4 linked regions of the Arabidopsis thaliana genome follow. The protein of the gene in region 4 interacts with the protein of the main gene of each other region in a pairwise test. Each region holds a gene or a part of one and is shown on either strand. Other genes may lie near its edges.

Evidence for each region.
Region 1: the proteins of TIFY10B (region 4) and TCP15 interact in binary tests that used the Arabidopsis thaliana proteins (3 or more experiments, as listed by UniProt).
Region 2: the proteins of TIFY10B (region 4) and FRS3 interact in binary tests that used the Arabidopsis thaliana proteins (3 or more experiments, as listed by UniProt).
Region 3: the proteins of TIFY10B (region 4) and TCP3 interact in binary tests that used the Arabidopsis thaliana proteins (3 or more experiments, as listed by UniProt).

Annotation. Positions count from the first base shown.
Region 1 is NC_003070.9:26,214,452-26,218,628, reverse strand, and holds TCP15 (TCP family transcription factor), read right to left. Parts: upstream 2,621-4,177; 5' UTR 2,181-2,620; coding exon 1,203-2,180; 3' UTR 558-1,202; downstream 1-557. UniProt on the Arabidopsis thaliana protein: Transcription factor involved the regulation of plant development. Together with TCP14, modulates plant stature by promoting cell division in young internodes. Represses cell proliferation in developing leaf blade and specific floral tissues.
Region 2 is NC_003071.7:11,576,166-11,582,514, reverse strand, and holds FRS3 (FAR1-related sequence 3), read left to right. Parts: upstream 1-1,697; 5' UTR 1,698-2,109; coding exon 2,110-4,263; intron 4,264-4,345; coding exon 4,346-4,435; intron 4,436-4,704; coding exon 4,705-4,854; intron 4,855-5,193; coding exon 5,194-5,310; intron 5,311-5,501; coding exon 5,502-5,546; 3' UTR 5,547-5,847; downstream 5,848-6,349. Other genes in the region: TIL2 (DNA polymerase epsilon catalytic subunit), read right to left, coding at 1-23, 129-289, 691-786, 859-918, 993-1,058, 1,158-1,292; SE (C2H2 zinc-finger protein SERRATE (SE)), read right to left, coding at 6,158-6,218, 6,311-6,349.
Region 3 is NC_003070.9:19,849,273-19,853,662, forward strand, and holds TCP3 (TEOSINTE BRANCHED 1, cycloidea and PCF transcription factor 3), read right to left. Parts: upstream 2,454-4,390; 5' UTR 2,164-2,453; coding exon 988-2,163; 3' UTR 930-987; exon of another isoform or gene 929-929; intron 836-928; 3' UTR 516-835; downstream 1-515. UniProt on the Arabidopsis thaliana protein: Plays a pivotal role in the control of morphogenesis of shoot organs by negatively regulating the expression of boundary-specific genes such as CUC genes, probably through the induction of miRNA (e.g. miR164). Participates in ovule development.
Region 4 is NC_003070.9:28,148,040-28,152,046, forward strand, and holds TIFY10B (TIFY domain/Divergent CCT motif family protein), read right to left. Parts: upstream 2,408-4,007; 5' UTR 2,220-2,407; coding exon 2,072-2,219; intron 1,753-2,071; coding exon 1,575-1,752; intron 1,483-1,574; coding exon 1,205-1,482; intron 1,118-1,204; coding exon 1,060-1,117; coding exon of another isoform or gene 1,056-1,059; exon of another isoform or gene 968-1,055; coding exon 880-967; 3' UTR 536-879; downstream 1-535. UniProt on the Arabidopsis thaliana protein: Repressor of jasmonate responses. Jasmonoyl-isoleucine (JA-Ile) specifically promotes COI1-TIFY10B/JAZ2 interaction. Activated by MYC2, MYC3 and MYC4 transcription factors.

The sequences.
Region 1 (4,177 bases), 1.9 Mb from region 4:
GTCTCAATTAATTATAGACATATATAATCTATGTTTCATCCAACGAAAACACTTCAGAAATAAATGATCAAGCTGAAATCTATAACCATCAAAAGTTTTTAGTTCTAACTTCAATCTATAAATTTGTTTATAGACATTGTTTTTAAAACACATTTTTCTCTGATTTTCAGCAGAAAATGAAATATATATTCTTGGTATTTTTTGGGTATCCGAAAATTCACAAATATTGACGTATAAATACAGGTTCCTGCTTGGTGATGAGTTTCATAGATCCAGAGATTGTAAATCGTACGTGAGTCTTCAAACATAGCACCAGACTAATTAAGTTCTTAGCTACCTTATACGGATAATGGACCTATATATTTTTTTTTTGATAATTCTCCTTGTATCTTTTGATTCATAATCAAATAATTTTGGTAATATCATTAGCAAAATTAAATGCCTTCAATTTTTGCAACGGCTATAAATTGAACGTATCCAAACCACCATGCGCATAAACCTACTGGCATTAATATGGCATCATATCTACAATGCATCCCCTCGTCAACACACTTATAATTAACCAAAACAATCACACTTAATGCTTTGACCTATATGATTTTGTTACTATATATATCTACATTATCTTAGCATAGTCACCAATAGACCAGTCAGGAGTAAGATGTTAATCATGCAAAGAAATTAACATATTAAAAGAGATAGCTAGAACCTGAATAATTGCTCACAATGCATAAGATGTAGCTTCTTCGAGACAATGTAACCATGAACGAAGTGGAAGATAATAATTTGGCATGCGAAATAATTTATTGATAATCCGTACTGAATTAATATACATATATAAAAATTGTTCAAAAACCCTAATCAAGTATTAGAAAACTCTCACACTCAATAGTAATGAGGAAAACATTTCACAAGACAACTACTTCAAGCAAAAATCTCTAGAATAATAAAACCAAAGCCTTGCATGCAAAAACCACAAACTAAAACATATCGATTATCAGGTTCTTAATTACTTACTCAATACATTAATCAGAAAAATAAACAAGATGAAATCCGTAGAATATTAGAATTTAGAAATAAATAAAAATATATGAAAAAGAAGCAATGCAAAAAAAACACGCTTGTTAAGAACAAACAAACAAACGAAAGGACAAAAAAAGAAAAATAAATCTCACAGAATATATTTGTTTGTGTATGTTTGCCTAGGAATGATGACTGGTGCTTCCATCTTCTTGATGGTTGTGATGATGATCTCCGTCACGGTTTTGCTGGTTGTTGTTATGGTTCCCCGTCTCCGCCACCGGTCGGTAAGCAGCATTCAACGCCGCTAAAACTCCATAATGGCTATGTTCTCCACCGCCACCTCCTCCTCCTCCATAACCAGAAGCCAAAGGCTGTCCAGAAAACAAAGCAATAGGAGCTGCAAAATTCATCAAATGAACTCCACTACCGCCGCCACTACCACCACTGTTGGGGTTGTAAACATCTCCGGCGACAACACCGGAATGATGAGGATTAATATTAAAAGCCCAAAGATTCTGTGTGTTGTCACCACTACTCCAAAACGGTGCCGTTGCAGGACTCTGACTCGTAGGTAAAGATCCAGCAGTTGATTGTACTAGATAGTTACCCATTTGGTTGTGATCTAAAAGCTGTGAAGAAGAAGAAGACGAAGAATGTGACTCGTTCTTGGGACGAACCTGATGCTGATGTTGAAGATGATGAGTCATGGACTGATGTGGTGAATGAAAGTAATAGCTACTAGGAGTTGTACGAAGATGAGCAGCAGAGAGAGAAGATCTTGAGCTACGAAGTGAGATGTTTAAAGAAGTGAAGTTAGCCGGAATGGTTCCAGTCCCTGTAGCGGCTATAACCGCTGGTTCTGCTTGTTGGAGTAGCCACTCAATAGTTTCACCGTCGGATTTGTGACCAAGCTCACGTGTGAGCTGAAAGACACGTGCAGCACACATGGCAGGCATACGGATCCGACGGCCTCGGCCTTCGACTTTGGTGTGTCGGTCTTTAGTAGAGGTTCGTTTAGGAGGAGGCTTCTTAGGTTCGGAGTTAGGTTCGGAAGTAGTAGAGATGATGGCTAAGGAAGTGGAAGAGGAGGAGGTAGAAGAATCAAGAAGCTGGAGAGGGAAGTTGGGTCGATGGTTATGATCCGGATCCGGATCCATGATGATGATGATGATGATGATCGAAGCTTTGGTGGTGGGGAAGTGGGACTATACTACTGTCTCTGTTAGATCTTTATGTGAGCCATAGTTTTTTTCTCTCTCTATAAATCTCTGTTTTTTTGCTGATACTTAGAGAGAGATAGAGAGGTTATAATATGGTCCTTAGGACATGAAACTCCTTTCAGATGGGAAGCTTAGCTGTGTCTATGTCTGAGAGAGAGAGAGAGATTAAAGCAATGAATATGAAAGCATGGACTTTTTTTTTCTCTTGCTGCTTTATATCTTTTGTGTTTTATTTTTGGAATTTTATTTACATTATAAACTATTCCCTTTGAGAATTTTTCGTTATTTTTGGAAATAAAAGAGATGGGCTTACGTGGTTCTCCAATCTGTACAAATATTCATTCAAATAAAATGTTTTTCCTTATTACGTACAGTGATCAAAGTGAGTGAAAATAAATGTTGTTCGTGTATTTATTGTGTTTGGATACATAGTTTTTTACAATAATACAATTACCCTATACGAACACTCTTTTTCATTCTTTACAATAATTAAAAAGTGACGTCAGTTTCTCGTCGTAACTGTTAACTTCAAGCGATCGGGAAATTAATTGCACATTTAGCGAAAATTTCAGCGATTCAGACAGAACTGAGAAGTTTACATATATTTTGTACATATGTGACAACAGAATAATAAATAGATAGAATTATTATTGACAGAATGACAGTGATTAATCCATGGCTCTATGGTAGTTCACGAGATCCACATGATATAATAGAATCCAACTGCTTTTTTTATGAAACAGATGGATTGTTTTTTCTCCTCTGTGACTCTTGAATGAGTTACCAGTTTGATATTATTATTTATAAAACCATAGTTACAGTGCTTTATAGATATATAAAAGCAAATTTGTAATGCTTCTCTTTTGTTTCCACCATTGGAGTTATCTCATTGACATACAATTGTCGTTAAAAGATGTAGCACTAAATTTAGAAAATTATTTTGATACTCTGATGTGGACAGAACATTGATCTTTTTTTTCTGAAACGAATTTTTATATGTAGTGAATAGTGATGAAGAAGGCTCCTTCTTATGTGATGATTATTCATATAAGCTGTTCAAAGAATCAAAATATACGGTGTTACATAGATTATACTACTAATTAGGACCAGCGTAATATATATATATATATATATATATATATATATATGGTAACGTTAAAAATATAATTGAATTAGAGAATACAAAAGAAAAAAATAATATAAAAGTAAATTCGAATTATTATGAAGATATTTTAAATAAATATTTTTTAAAAATCTCAAATTTGTGTTTTATAGAAATTGAGTGTAACAAAATAAATCCAAGTTATTACATAAACCAACATAAGCATGCATATAATAATTGCCAGGTAGTATATTTGAATATACATATGATTTTGTTAAAAGAAATGGAGAAAACCAATTATAAAAATTCTTACACATATTAATTTTGAGTTTAGGCAAATTCATCTTTCTTAGTATATATTGAAAATTGTAAAATATATTTGTTATAATCTTACTATTCTTTTTCAAATGTCTAAGCTTTATGAAGATAAAACTTCTCAAAAATCAAAATATAGTATTTTCTATTGTGGCTAATTATCGTCTCTTAGTTTAGACGAATCATTAACGTTACGTGTAAGGTGTAACTAGTTCTGATGATCTCTTAGGAACGTTGATTAGTCTAACTATTAGAAACTTTACGCATAGCCACATAAAACCTATGGGATGTCCAAACATTTTCGCCCAAACATATTTACAAATGACAAAATTTTATATTTTAATTACTTATATATGTGATATCTTTTTATGTTTTAACTAGAATATGTTCATTGACCATAATTTTCCCTCGTAAAATATAAATAACTAAAAGTATCGGCCTGCTTGTAGTAATTAGTAAACCAATCAAAATATCAAGAAAACTATATATCAAAGACTAAACAGAAAAGAAAACGAAT
Region 2 (6,349 bases), on a different chromosome or scaffold from region 4:
AGCAGTCTTGAGGACGTTGTTCTCTACATTCCAAGACTTGGAAATTATAACTAAGGAACAACATAGTTTTAAGGGATAAATTTGTAAGAACTCTGGAAATTTATAAGAACAAAAATACATTGCCTTACCGTTTTCCAGACAAGATGGATTCGTAAGCTTCAAGTGCATTAAATTTTGCGAGGTTTCGTTCGACAATATGCAACAGATCCCTCTTTACTTCCACCAATTGTTGCACAGTGTCAAATGATACTTTGAGATATTTTTTTTGCAGGCCAGATAGATGATTTTTCTGCTCATGAACATAAGAAATCAAGAAACTCAAATTGGTATGGTAGGTCAAAGAAAAGGTCAGCAAAAGTGACAACCAAACAAGAGGTACTGAAAACGTTCATATCTTGCATAATGTTGCCACTAAAGAAGAAGCATTAAACACTTAAACATTTACTAGCAAACGTTTTTTGAGTTACAAGAACGTTTTTGGCAGGCTAGATAGATGATTTGAGCACATGGAAGCAAGATCAGTTTTGGACTTATTACTAGAGCTGCTCAATTTGAAGTTGCAAGAAGAGGAAAATAACTAAAAGTTGTAGCAAATGTAATTGACATGAGTCCTCTATATAGAGAGAAAGAAACGAGTAATCAACAGGTAGTTGCAAACTGCGTAAAAGGAGTTATGCTTTAGTGACTTACAAGATAAAGATCTTCTTTGTGAACAATCTGAATATCAGCAACTTGTCTTTCATATCGGCGTCTCAAGTAGGCTTCAACTTCCAGTTCCATATTGTCCTGTAAAAAGGGCATTGCAGTTTAGTTGACATATAGGAAGAAAACACTCGAGTACAGAGAGAACATATATACTTTGGTGGCGGCATACAAGTAAGGGCGGAACTTGTACTTAGTCTTAAAAGAAGAGCCGTCCTGAAAGAAACAAAAAGGGTTGAGCAACTGATACGAAGAAAGAAGCTAATATAGTAGCAATGACCACAGCTGACCTGAGTGACAAAGAAAAGGTCCACACAACTAAAGGTTTTCCCAGTATCGGCATCTTCCCAAGATGACTGCCAACAACGTAGTATAATAACCAATCAGTGAGTGTACTTAGAAGTTTTCAGTATTCAGAGAACTAACTACTAGGGAAGTCACAAAACGTGACTTACTGATGCAAACGTGAGTAGCCACCCGAGCCGCGTTTCCCCTTGGGAGAAAAGCCCAAATCCAAGTTTAGTTTCGAGTTCATCTGCCGCTGAAACTTTCTGCACATTCAACCTCCGATCACATCTCCTTCCGCTCATATTTGGCCCACGCCGATGATGCTAAGAGACTCTTGTATTGATTGCTTGTGTTGCGTATTAAATAAATTAGGGTTCAAAACAAAGGGATTCGTGATTGACACTGGTACGGTGAAGAGATGGAACCAGATCAAATAAGAGAAGAGAGAATCATCTAGAACCTGAGATTCTTATGACGACAATACAAGGAAATGAAGTTGTCATCCGAAAATGAATTAGGGCTCAACTAAAAAAGACAGATGAAGAAGATGAAATGCTTTCGCGCGCGTTGTCTCTTGTATCAAGGGCTTTCCTGGTTGTTGGGTTCGGTTCAAATGAGGCCTCACTTTTTATGAGGGCTTTCTGTTGTTGGGTTTAGATTAAAACGAGGTCTCGCTATTTAAATTGAAAAAAAAAAACCAACAAAAGCACGAAACGACGTCGGTTTCGTGCTTGAATCTCTTCTTCCTCGCGAACGACTGAGAAGAAGCAGGAGTTTAATTTCCTCCGGTCGAATCTGAAAACGAAATAGCTGCCATAGCTTCTTCTCAATTTTCCCCAATTGTTGTTGCCCTTCTCCCTAATTTCACGACTTTCGATTCTTCTGAGTTCTGAGTTCTTCGCATCACTGACTGACGTAAGCTCCTCTTTCTCTCTTTTGCTTTCTCCTCTTTCTGGGTTTCTCTCTCTCTCAACAAACAATCGGAGAGTGAGAGATGCAAAAAGTCCTCATATTTATATGTTCGGAAGAAGATCTCCAAACACTAATAGTACTTTTTTGTAGACTATGAAGATGAGAAACATTTGTGTGAAATTAGAACTTCTCTACTAAGTGAAGGTTATGGATGTTCATTTGGTGGAAGAGAATGTGTCAATGGGGAATCATGAGATAGGAGATGAAGGAGATGTTGAACCTAGTGATTGCAGTGGACAGAACAACATGGATAACTCGTTAGGGGTGCAAGATGAGATTGGAATTGCAGAGCCATGTGTTGGTATGGAGTTTAATTCAGAAAAAGAAGCTAAATCTTTCTATGATGAGTACTCGAGGCAGCTTGGTTTTACTTCTAAGCTTCTTCCTAGAACTGATGGGTCTGTTAGTGTTCGAGAATTTGTGTGTAGTAGTAGTAGTAAAAGGTCAAAGAGAAGGCTTTCTGAGAGTTGTGATGCAATGGTTAGGATAGAGTTGCAAGGTCATGAGAAATGGGTTGTTACAAAGTTTGTTAAAGAGCATACTCATGGATTAGCAAGTTCTAATATGCTTCATTGTCTTCGTCCTCGTAGGCATTTTGCTAACTCGGAGAAATCTAGTTATCAAGAAGGGGTTAATGTGCCTAGTGGTATGATGTATGTTTCTATGGATGCTAATAGCAGAGGAGCTAGAAATGCGTCTATGGCTACAAACACGAAGAGAACGATTGGACGGGATGCACATAATCTGTTGGAGTATTTTAAGAGGATGCAGGCAGAGAATCCTGGCTTTTTCTATGCGGTTCAGCTTGATGAAGATAATCAGATGTCAAATGTGTTTTGGGCTGATTCGAGATCTAGGGTTGCTTATACTCATTTTGGTGACACGGTTACCTTAGATACGAGGTACAGGTGCAATCAGTTTCGTGTTCCTTTTGCGCCATTTACTGGTGTGAATCATCATGGTCAGGCTATCTTATTTGGCTGTGCACTTATTTTGGACGAGTCAGACACTTCATTTATCTGGCTGTTCAAGACTTTTCTAACAGCAATGAGAGATCAACCGCCGGTTTCTTTGGTGACTGATCAAGATAGAGCCATACAGATTGCTGCTGGTCAGGTATTTCCAGGTGCTCGTCACTGTATTAATAAGTGGGATGTGCTAAGAGAAGGTCAGGAAAAGCTGGCTCATGTGTGTCTTGCGTATCCTAGTTTTCAGGTGGAGCTATATAATTGTATCAACTTTACTGAAACGATTGAGGAGTTTGAATCGTCCTGGAGTTCTGTCATTGACAAATATGACTTAGGAAGACATGAATGGCTTAATTCTTTATATAATGCTCGAGCTCAGTGGGTACCTGTTTATTTCCGGGATTCGTTTTTTGCTGCAGTGTTTCCTAGCCAAGGTTATTCGGGTTCCTTTTTCGATGGATATGTGAATCAGCAGACAACCCTTCCGATGTTCTTTAGGCTGTACGAAAGGGCTATGGAGAGCTGGTTCGAGATGGAGATTGAAGCAGATCTTGACACTGTCAACACACCTCCAGTCTTGAAGACGCCATCACCCATGGAGAATCAGGCTGCAAATCTCTTTACAAGGAAAATATTTGGAAAGTTCCAGGAAGAGTTGGTAGAGACATTCGCTCACACGGCAAACAGAATTGAAGATGATGGTACTACCAGCACATTTAGGGTTGCAAATTTTGAAAATGACAACAAAGCTTATATAGTAACGTTTTGCTACCCTGAAATGAGAGCAAACTGCAGCTGTCAAATGTTTGAGCACTCCGGCATACTCTGCCGACATGTTTTGACGGTGTTTACTGTCACTAATATACTCACTTTGCCACCACATTATATTTTGAGACGGTGGACAAGAAATGCCAAGAGCATGGTAGAGTTAGATGAGCATGTCAGTGAAAATGGGCATGATAGCTCGATACACCGCTATAATCATTTATGTCGCGAAGCCATCAAGTATGCTGAGGAAGGGGCAATTACAGCTGAAGCTTATAATATTGCTTTAGGGCAACTCAGAGAAGGTGGAAAGAAGGTTTCAGTTGTCAGGAAAAGGATAGGTAGAGCTGCGCCTCCTAGCTCACATGGTGGTGGAATTGGTAGTGGTGACAAGACCTCTCTATCAGCTGCTGACACAACCCCTTTGCTGTGGCCGCGCCAGGATGAAATGATACGCAGATTTAACCTTAACGATGGTGGGGCCAGAGCTCAATCTGTTTCTGATCTGAATCTGCCGCGTATGGCACCAGTGTCACTTCACCGAGATGATACTGCTCCTGAGAATATGGTACCCAGAGGAAACCTTTCACAGACTTATTTCTTTGATTCTATTGGTGTTGGTCAGTAACTTGATTTACTTTGTCTTACAGGTGGCTCTTCCTTGTCTTAAGTCATTGACTTGGGGGATGGAGAGTAAAAATACAATGCCGGGTGGTAGAGTTGCAGTTATCAATTTAAAGGTGTGCATTATATGAACCAGTAAATCTTTTCTGTAGGGTTTTGCAGTAACTTTTACTGAAAGTTGGTCTGATGGGATGCTTTATCTAAAAGAGATTAGATTTGTAAGAATAATGATCTTGAAGATTTGAACAATTGACATTCGCCTTTTCGGAAAAGTTACTGGCTATAGTGTAGGAAAATCAAAGTTGTTGCCATTAATAGTCTTGCTCGTTCCTGCAAAATAGTAGTTGACCGCTTTACTGAGGATTATTTTTCATGATGTTTTCAGTTGCACGATTACAGAAAGTTTCCCTCAGCAGACATGGATGTCAAATTTCAGCTGTCTAGCGTCACACTTGAACCCATGTTAAGGTCCATGGCTTACATTAGCGAGCAACTTTCATCTCCAGCCAATAGAGTAGCTGTCATCAATTTGAAGGTATGTCTTTTAGACTCTAGGCTCGTAGCTTCTCATGTAGTCTTCTTGACTTGACTAAACTCCTTTTAATTTATTGATTGTCTTTGGTTTGTTCTAACATAGATTCCATCTACCGTTAGTGTGTGAAACTTCTGTGTTGTTTGACTTGTTTAAGCTGATTCTCTCATTCATGTTAACTTGCCATACGTTTTGCAGTTATTTATACTAGCGTCACTACTTGAATATGAAATTTCATGTTTGATTACCAAAATCAATGTTTTACTCCATATTAGGGACTCTTAATTGAACTAGAAGGTTTCAACAGTGTGAAAAAATCTTCTTTTGTTTTCCTTACTCCAGCTTCAAGATACCGAGACAACAACAGGAGAATCAGAGGTCAAGTTTCAGGTGTCCCGAGATACACTAGGTGCCATGTTGAGATCAATGGCCTATATCCGTGAGCAGCTCTCAATCGTTGTAGGCACACTCCCTTTTTCTTTTTCTTTTTCCAAGTAGTAGTTATTAAATAATTACAAGGCCAATGATAGTTGAATTAGTAATAGTAACAGCAATCAATTAGGTTCATATCGACCTATAATTGTTCCTGAACTATTACTTGGTCTATGTATTGTCTTATAGAGTATCTAAACGGTATCTTGCATTTGCAGGGAGAGCTACAAACAGAATCTCAAGCAAAGAAGCAACGCAAATGATGTTGAGAGAGAGAAACAACCTCTGGAAAAGAAAACTTTGGAAAATGGTTGTTAACCTCATTAGAGCTCGTCTGTGATTAGTGTTGTTAGATTTACGATACAATGCCTTATGTGTAATTGTAACATGTGTAAGTGTCACGTCATCTACGCAAGTGTGTAGAATCTGGTAGGCATTGAGCCAGGCTTTGAAGTGTATATATCCTTCTTATTTACATTGAACCCTAAAAACCTGGATTCTTGTGGATAGTCATTCGTTTGACTGCAGATTATATTTAATGGCCATGGAGATTTAAGACTGCCATGGAGACTTAAGTATTGATAACAAACAATGTGGATAAAACGCATTATTCAATACAAGAAATTCTCATGCTATTTATGTAATCATCGTCGAACAGAATTAGTAAGAAAGCACATGAAAAATTTTGAAAAACAATAAGGAAATGTATGGAGTGCGTATTTTACGCTTTAGTGAGTGAAAATTGGGAGGAACAAGACATAATACATCAAAAGGGTAAGAAAATGCCACAATCTGCTAGCTTTGCCTTCTAATACTGATGCCCTTTAACCCAACCCGAACCAGTAAACTCGGGATCTCTCTAGCCCTGTCTTGTCTACAAGCTCCTGTAATCAATAACGGTCACTTCTTCCTCTGGAGCATCTAGGTCTTGGTAGCTGCACCAAATTTCTCATACATTAGTACCTTAGAGACACTGCACTCTTGATCATAGGGTAATGGACTCATAGCACAGAGTGAACTACGTTACCTGCGCAGCCGTCTAGGATCTTGTCTAAAGGCCGGAGAC
Region 3 (4,390 bases), 8.3 Mb from region 4:
TCTTGTTTAAAGTAGACAGTTATTTGACACTAGACATCAAATTCTCTTTTGCTCCTTTTTCATAAAATCTTGAAATCTAGTATTGAGGAAGATTCTATGAAAAGAAGTCAAAAACCATTTCTCTGATATTTATATAGGGATCCGTGGATCATGGGCCAAAACTCTTACTAAGTATCAGAGCTTGCATCCACTAAACAAATTTTAAAAGAAACCCATAATTCTAAACTCTAAACTCCAAAAGAAGCAACACATGCAAACCCTGTCTATGGAAAGTGACTCTTCATCTATGGGGCCAAAAGAAGAGACTAAGAAACACAAGAGAAATGATTGTTTCAAATTCCATTTGCTAGTCAAAAGAAAGTTTATAACCACAGAGATTGGGAAGATAATACTTCTAATAAACGCTAAACCAAACAATATGATGATTGATGTAGATGGATAGAGCACTGTTCCTCTTTGGGATTGGCAAACAAAATGAGATATTTCTTGGGGAAAGCATTAAACCCACATGGAATAAAGGGCAAACAAAAGACTTTAGCTTCAAGTGGGGTTAAAGGTTTCCAACACAAGAACATAAATAAAGGACAAGTAATTGTAGAACAAGTTACAACAAACAAGATGTGAGCTCATGTAGCTAGAGCTAAACATTGTAAAACAGAATTGAACTTACAGAACGTTCTCTAATTGATACAAGATGAATTCAAATTAACCAAGGCCTAGGCTTTTAAAGACTTAAGAAGAACCTGAAACTGTTGATCAGATTTATAGGCCATTTGGATATTCGAAACACACAACAACGAAAACCGCCTTCACTATTCCACGCATTCGAAGCGCCCTGAAACGTTAAAAACAATGTAAGTTATCAATTTGATGAATGGTTAAAAGACAAGACTTTCACAAATGGGTGTTGTTTTCGAAAAACTTCAAACCTGGAATATGAAAAGAAACCTGTTGTGTTGCACAATCTTATGTGTTTTTGGAACTTGTTTAATGGCGAGAATCGGATGAAGCAGAGGACGGCTTGTTGTCGCCGCCGTGCTCCTCTTGTTCGCCTTGAAACCGTGCTGGTATACGAAAACCGGAGAATTCACCACTTGAAGCAAATGCAATGCCTGGAATAGCAGATTGGTGAATCCCGGGAGGGATATGGTAGGGATGATGATGGTGGAGATCGTCAGTGGTCATGGACTGCTGATGATGATGATGATGATGGTGAGGATCAAACCAAGCACGAATCATAGGTGTGTTAATGGACTGAAGGGGACCCCTCTGTGATAAAAGCTGACTTTGGCTATAAACTGGATGCAACGACGACGGAGAAGCAAACACAAATCCTCCGGTACTTCCGGCGGATTCAGCTGCTCCGACGTTGTTCCATGACACTAGTCTCTGTATCTTTCCAAATTCCGGTGACTGATGACTCTGTTCCCAGCTTGCCGTCGATGAGTCAAACGCTAACTGATTATTGCTCTGGCCGGAGAACAGAGCAGGTTCTGTTTGATTAGGAAAAGGTGGACCATTTTGGAAAGATTGAAGCGAGAGACGAAGAAGATCTTGGTTCTGTGTATTGCCTCGTGACGGTGGCTGATGATGATAGCTCTGTTGCGTTGAAGCTACCGGAAAAAACGACTTTATAGTGTCAGCTATCGAATCAGAATCCATTGACGCCGGAAGAAAACTCGATTCGTTATCTTCTTCTTCTCCGATTCGATGATGCTCTGTTTCTTCCGGTTGTGGCGGTGGCGGAGAAATTAAAGTTTTGGTTTTTCTGGGTTTAGCGTTAGCAGCAGCGGCGGCGTGTTGACGAAGAGTATCGGCGGGGTTCCAAGGAGGAAGCTGAGCAAGATCATCAATGGCGGATTTAGCTTTAGTAATAAGCCAATCAACAGCTTTACTTGGTCGATCAAAACCAAGTCTATCTTGAACATCGTAGAATTGAATCGCCGTCGGAGCTGAGAGTCTCACGCGCCGGTCACGTGGTCCTTTCGCTGTACATACTTTACTATGTCTGTCTTTTCTTCCTGTTGACCGAACAATGTGACCTCCTTGTACCTCCACAATCTCGCCGCAACCACCACCGTTCTCCGTCGCTGATTGGTGGTGTCTCATCTCTAGAAGAGGCGGCGACGGAGAATCTAAGAAATGGTCGTTATCTGGTGCCATTGATGAAGCATATTGTGGAAATTCAAGGTCGTTGATGGTGGTGGTGGTTGGATTATGACGGCGGCGGCGACGGCGGTCGTTAACCGCCGAGGAATCCAGAGTCGTTCGATTTATTTAATTCAACATTTTGCCTCTCCTCCAAATCCCAAACCCTAAACACGCCAACAAATCAAAGATGAAGAAGAAGAAGAAGAAGAAGACGTAATTGAATTTTGCAGACTAACCCATGACTAAATTTCTCTTCTTTTGTCTAAAGATTGTTTCTTTTTTAGAATTTGTCTCTGTTTCTGAGAATTCAAGAAGCAAAAACAGAGGAAGCAAGAAGAGAGAGAAGAGATAGAGAGATGTGGAATTGACTAAACGAGAATCCAGGAAAGCTCTTTTTAATTTTTTGTTTCTGGCCGGAAAATTTACAGTAACGGTAAAAAAAGGAAGAGATTTTGGGGTTTGGGGAAGAGAGGGAAATGGTAATGGAAGGAGTGTGTTTGGTCATAAAAAGAGCTCTCTGATACTCATCATCATCACTTGTGCTTTTATTTCATTTTTAAAGTGTTTTCTTATTTTATATTATATATTTTATGGTTTTTCTAAATGAAAAACAAAAAGCTTTTGTCCGATTCATCATGTGGAAATATTTTACATGACATTTCGAATTGTATTAGCTATATACATTACAATGGATATATTTTGGTAGAGGTTACTGTAAGAATATCAACACATATACATAGTCCTCTTAGGTTTGGTTCTGACTACCACTATTTTTTTTTGTTAAAGATGATAGAAACTATAAGCACTAATAAACCCAAATTTTACCAAGTCAAAGATTGTTCTGTACTGTGTTAGAAAATATTAATACAGAACTTTTGAGGTAGTAAAGGTTTTGGGTTGTTGGAAAAAAAGACAATACAAGAAGATTTCTTTTATAATAAAAACTAAAAAGTAAAGCTTTTAGATCTGTTGGAGAGTTGGAGACACTAATAATTGGGCGGTATAAACTAATATTGATGGTATTATTTTAAACAAATAAAGTATTATTTTCATCGAATCAAATTGTATTGGTTTTAGAGGTTACACCCTGTAAAATGCATCACCAGTATCCGTAGGATTCGACAGTATCCCTATAATCAACCATTGTCTATGCTCCTTTCCACTATCTGTTCTCGAACTCCACTGTTCGTCAATCCCACTTTTAATTAACCAAACGTAGTAAAGTTTCAGATGGAAAACGAAAATAATAGAGATACATACTTGTACATAGTTTTAGTTTAAAATTAACTTGAATTTCCTTTAAACAAAGATAAAAATGTGTATATATACGTAATTTGGTAACTCAATCAGTTTTTTTTTTCTTTTTTGTTAACAAGGAAATCCCGAGCATTTGACATACTAATACAAGTATGGTATGTGATTAAATATGAACATTTTAGGTGTGATTCATGTAGAGATTTCAAGAGAGATATAAGAAGAAATATGTGATTGTAGATAGGAGATTTATGTTTTTTGTAAGTGCGTTTCCTACTCATCGAGCCAATCTGCATTGAATCCATAATTTTTTCTTTTACCTTCCCAAGAGAAGAAATTATCAAAACATCGTTCTACGACATGCAACATCAAATTTAAAGGCACGAAATATCGCACGGTTCACTGGTTTAGGACACAATCAATTATTGTTTTCCATTTTTTTGTCATTACCACAAATTCTCTTTCTAACTACTTCTCCATTATACACACCGACCATGCATGTACTGTATTTTTAATTAAATACCCGTAGTCATACGAACTTTTCTGATATATAATGTATTTGGTACCATATTCTTGATCATCAAATAATGACAATGCACACATAAAAAGATGACGTATCGATATGTAAGGCAAAGATGGAATCAAATTTCAAATAAATGTTTCCCATTGCACCTACTCAACCAAGTGTAGTCTAAATAAATTTACGAATATACCCTATAGGCTTTTAGTGTTTTTCGATCGCATGTGTGTCAGTAAGTACACTCCCCATCACCCTCATAGTCATTTCCTCTTATCTCTCTCTCTTAAGTTATTTTCCCCAATATTTATTCCTTTCATTTATTTTTGTCAACTTGTTTTTCCGATAAAGAAATAAACACAATTTTTTCTGTCAATTTCCTAGTTTTATTTCGTTTATTTCCATTGTCTTATTTTTTTCCGTAATAAAAGAAATTAAAGCACTGTGAAAAGTTATAAATTCATTCTT
Region 4 (4,007 bases):
TTAGGTTCTTCGGGCTTATTAATCATAACGAATTTCGGACCAGTCTTTGGACCAAATTTACGTTTTGTTAGTTGGATGATCATTGTTCAAGACCGAACAAATCATTGTTCAAGACCGAACGAAAAAAAGTTATCGTGGGTCAGAATTCCCGTGGCCTACCAAGCCTGGTCTGATCTACTCCACTTATTGGATATTTATGAAGCTCTTTTTATTATGGACTTCGGATATTTTACAAAGTTATAACTAGTATTTTGGGAAAAACAAAATTGTAACTGGCTTGGTATTTTAACCAAAAATAGTCTACATAGTTTGTGCCATGTATTTAACAACAAAACGAAAATGCTAATACTATAATGGATAGATAGGTTAAAACGTATTTTGAACAATAGCAGACTTGTTAAAGAAAATCTTTCACACGACAATACTTGATAGAAAATCATCATTTTTTAGACATTTCTTTATTTTCGAGAATGCTTTAAGTATTTCTGTTCCTTAACTGTAAGCTTCAGCTCTCAATAAGTGACGAACAAACAATCGGATTAAATAAACTTGGATTATATTAATGGCCATCAACACAAAAACACAAGTGATGTTTCTTACAAAAGTTGCAAGCTAATGTTGAGATCGGCAGAGGAAAGGGTTATACACACTGGCTAAAACTTAAACCCCAGAAGCAAACATTGAACACTATTGATATTGATTTCATACAAATATAATGAGTTTTCGGGGGAGTTAAACAAACAAAACTACTAGGGGTGAAATTAATCTATAGAAAAAATGAACAGAGGAGCAGCTTGATATTTGTAACGATGGAGCATCAGAAGAATCTTACAAGAAGGTCTCTCAAGTTGTGCCTTCTGGGTCGGACAGGCTCGAAGTTTACCGTGAACTGAGCCAAGCTGGGTTAGTAGGCTTGGAAGACGCTTCAGCTGAACCGTCTATTTGGTATGGTGCCTTTGATGTGATCCTGTTAAAGGTTTACGAGTAGGATATTGAGAAATTCGCTTAACAAGAACTTATGGAATAACAAGATATTATGTTTTCATTAAAATGCATTACCTATCCTTCCTCTTCTCAAGGAACCGATGAAGTGAAGCTCTTCTTGCAATCGGGAGTTCTACAAATCAAAAAGAGAGAAAGTTAGAGAAATAGGACTAAGCCAAGCTCAGAGATGGTTGAACCAAAAGAGGCTGAGATCAATTACCGCAGGCTAAAGAGGCCGGGTTAGGCTGAATTGGCTCTTGTGCTGCGGTTTTTGCAGGACTACAAACAGGATTTGGGCTAGAAGCAATCTCTTTTTGAGAATAAGCACTATGGTTATTGTTTACTTCAGCTGTGAAACATGTGAAGCTTTTGGCACTTCCTTTGTTAGCCAAATCAATGACTTCTTTAGCTTTCTCAGCAGAAAAATCATCAAACACCATAACTCGACCACCGTAGAATATAGTCAACGGAGCAGATTGAGACTCTGGCTTCACAGATCTGTTCAAAATCACACAAAAATTAGTTAAACTGATGAAACATAGCTTACTATATGAGACGATTCTTTTCACTATATACATATAAACACATACTTAGTAGTCTCTTTGATCATCTGTACATCTTCTTTGGTCCCAGAGGAAGAGGAAGAAGAAAAGCTTGATTGTCTCGGAAACATAGTCTTCGGTTTAATGTCTTCTTGACCAGCAGAAGAATCCATTCCTGAAGCTTCACAAGGGAACAGATTCATCATTGTAGGCTGACGTGAACCTCCTGCGAAAATTGATCCAAAAGTAAAGATTATTATCATTCACCAATCTCTCAAACAACTGCAAAACAAAATCTACTTAATGACTAAACCAGGCCTATGGCTTTAGAGGATTATGCTTAAACCAAACACAGAACCATCTCCACAAATTCATACACATACATACATATATAGAAATTGATTCAAAATCCATTAATCATCGATTCTCTACAACGATTCAATTTCCAGACAACATGTAATCGATTCATAATTCGTAATTCGCAACAGGAAACTCAAAATTCGCAGAAACGAAATGAACAGATCTAAAAGAGAAAGGTTGATTACCATTAACGTCGGGCTTGCATGTCATCCCTAAGCTCAGATCTCCAAAACTACCCTTCTCCTTCAGGTAACGACTCAATCGAGTACATGTTTGTGAAAAGCTCGGTTTACGACCAGAGAAGTCCCAACACTCGGCAGAAAAACTCGACATCGTTGAAACCGAAATTGAAATCGTTTCGATTGAGAAATTGGAGCAAAAGGATCTTCCTTCCTGAGTTGTTGAATTTTCTCGAATCTTATAAAAAAACTTAGGGTTCTTGTTTATCTTTCTCTGCCAAGTGCGTTTTGTCACGAGGAAGAAATGGAGGACCTCTTTATTACTTTTTTTTCGCTGGTTGCAGATACGGAAATTAGTAAAATATACTCTTATAGTATTAATTAACATAGAGACATTTAAAACACGTGTTTTAATTTAATGTTTTAACGGCAGACCACTGTTTCAGATCACCACCGTCACCCACGTCCCCACGCTTCACACTTGAAATAACCATTTCACCCTCTTACTACTCCTGTTTTTACCATTTTACCCTTACAAGATGTTCAAATAAAATAAAAAATTATGAAAACGTAAAATCCTAAAATTAATTAGTTCAAACAAATCAATGTTCAGATGAAATTTGATTATGATAGTCTTTCAGTTATACCATTTAGTTGGTTCATATATCCTTTTTTTTAAGATGAATCTCTTGGCATTAATTTATGTATTTTTAGCACTATTAATTAGTCTACTATTTTAATCTCATAGACCGGCGTGATATTTTAGCACTCAAAGAGAATTAACGGTATGATTTGGGGGAAAAAAGAGGATTAACGGCGTTAGATAGAGGGAACACGGTGTGGGTCTTACATAACCAAAACTCCACCACCAATGCAAATTTGATCCATAAATCACGTTTTGTATTTTCCCTTTTATTAATTTTTTTTTAGTGTTTTATTTATGACAACAGTAATAAATAATTACAAAAAGCGGGAAGAGCACGTCTCCTCCATGAATCGCGACCTTACACGTGTCTAACTTAACTGCCCACATTTGAGAGAATTTTTCTTGTTGGTGTCGTAGTCAGAGTAATCACCTGTTACGCGGCTTATATAGCAGCTGTGTTCTCCTACGCACAATAGCCGTTGATCCTATCACTCTGTCTTTTATTCTCTTGTTATTATCCCATGCGTTTGTTAGGAACACACAAATAAGTTTGATTTTCTTTTATAACGTAACGTCCAACTTGTTATTTTATTGACTTGGATTGTAGTAATTGCTAACTCATTACAGGTACATCGAGATAACGTAAGGTTCATAGAGTGGCTCGTGAGAAAATAAGGATGATTGGTTAATTTGGTTTTTAACTGTTTTATAAACATCTTCACAAAATTTTATACATCACAAACATATCCATAAGAAACAAAATCAGAAGAAGCTGCAGGTACATACAATTACAAGGAAGAGGGGTCACAAGAAGAACCCAGAGCGCATAAAGACATCAAAGTCTGGATATTATTTAGAGTATGCAACCAAAAAGAAGAAGGCAAGTGGGGTGGTCACAAAAATGCAAGATAGAGGTCACAAGAAGAATAGAAGAACATAAGCTAATTAAGGAATAGTACTCTATATTCCTGTTTTTACTGTAGAAACTTTATCTACTTATGGCTCTCTTATACAAGGCTGATTGATACCCTTTTAGCCATGTTTTTATACTTGCTCTTGGTTTTCACAGCTGATTCATTCCTCTTCTTTCTTTCACATATTTAACAGAAAATAAGCTTACATATGAAAGTGGTAAAACATTGGGCCCTTGGAATATATTTTTTTAGTTTTTACCTTTCAAAAGATGATTTAGTTACTCTCTATATATGTAATTAACAAAGGGAAAACTGTCAAGAGCTACTAAATTTAAAATTGAGAATTGATTTGGCATTTTTTGAGATTTCATGTTAAACAATA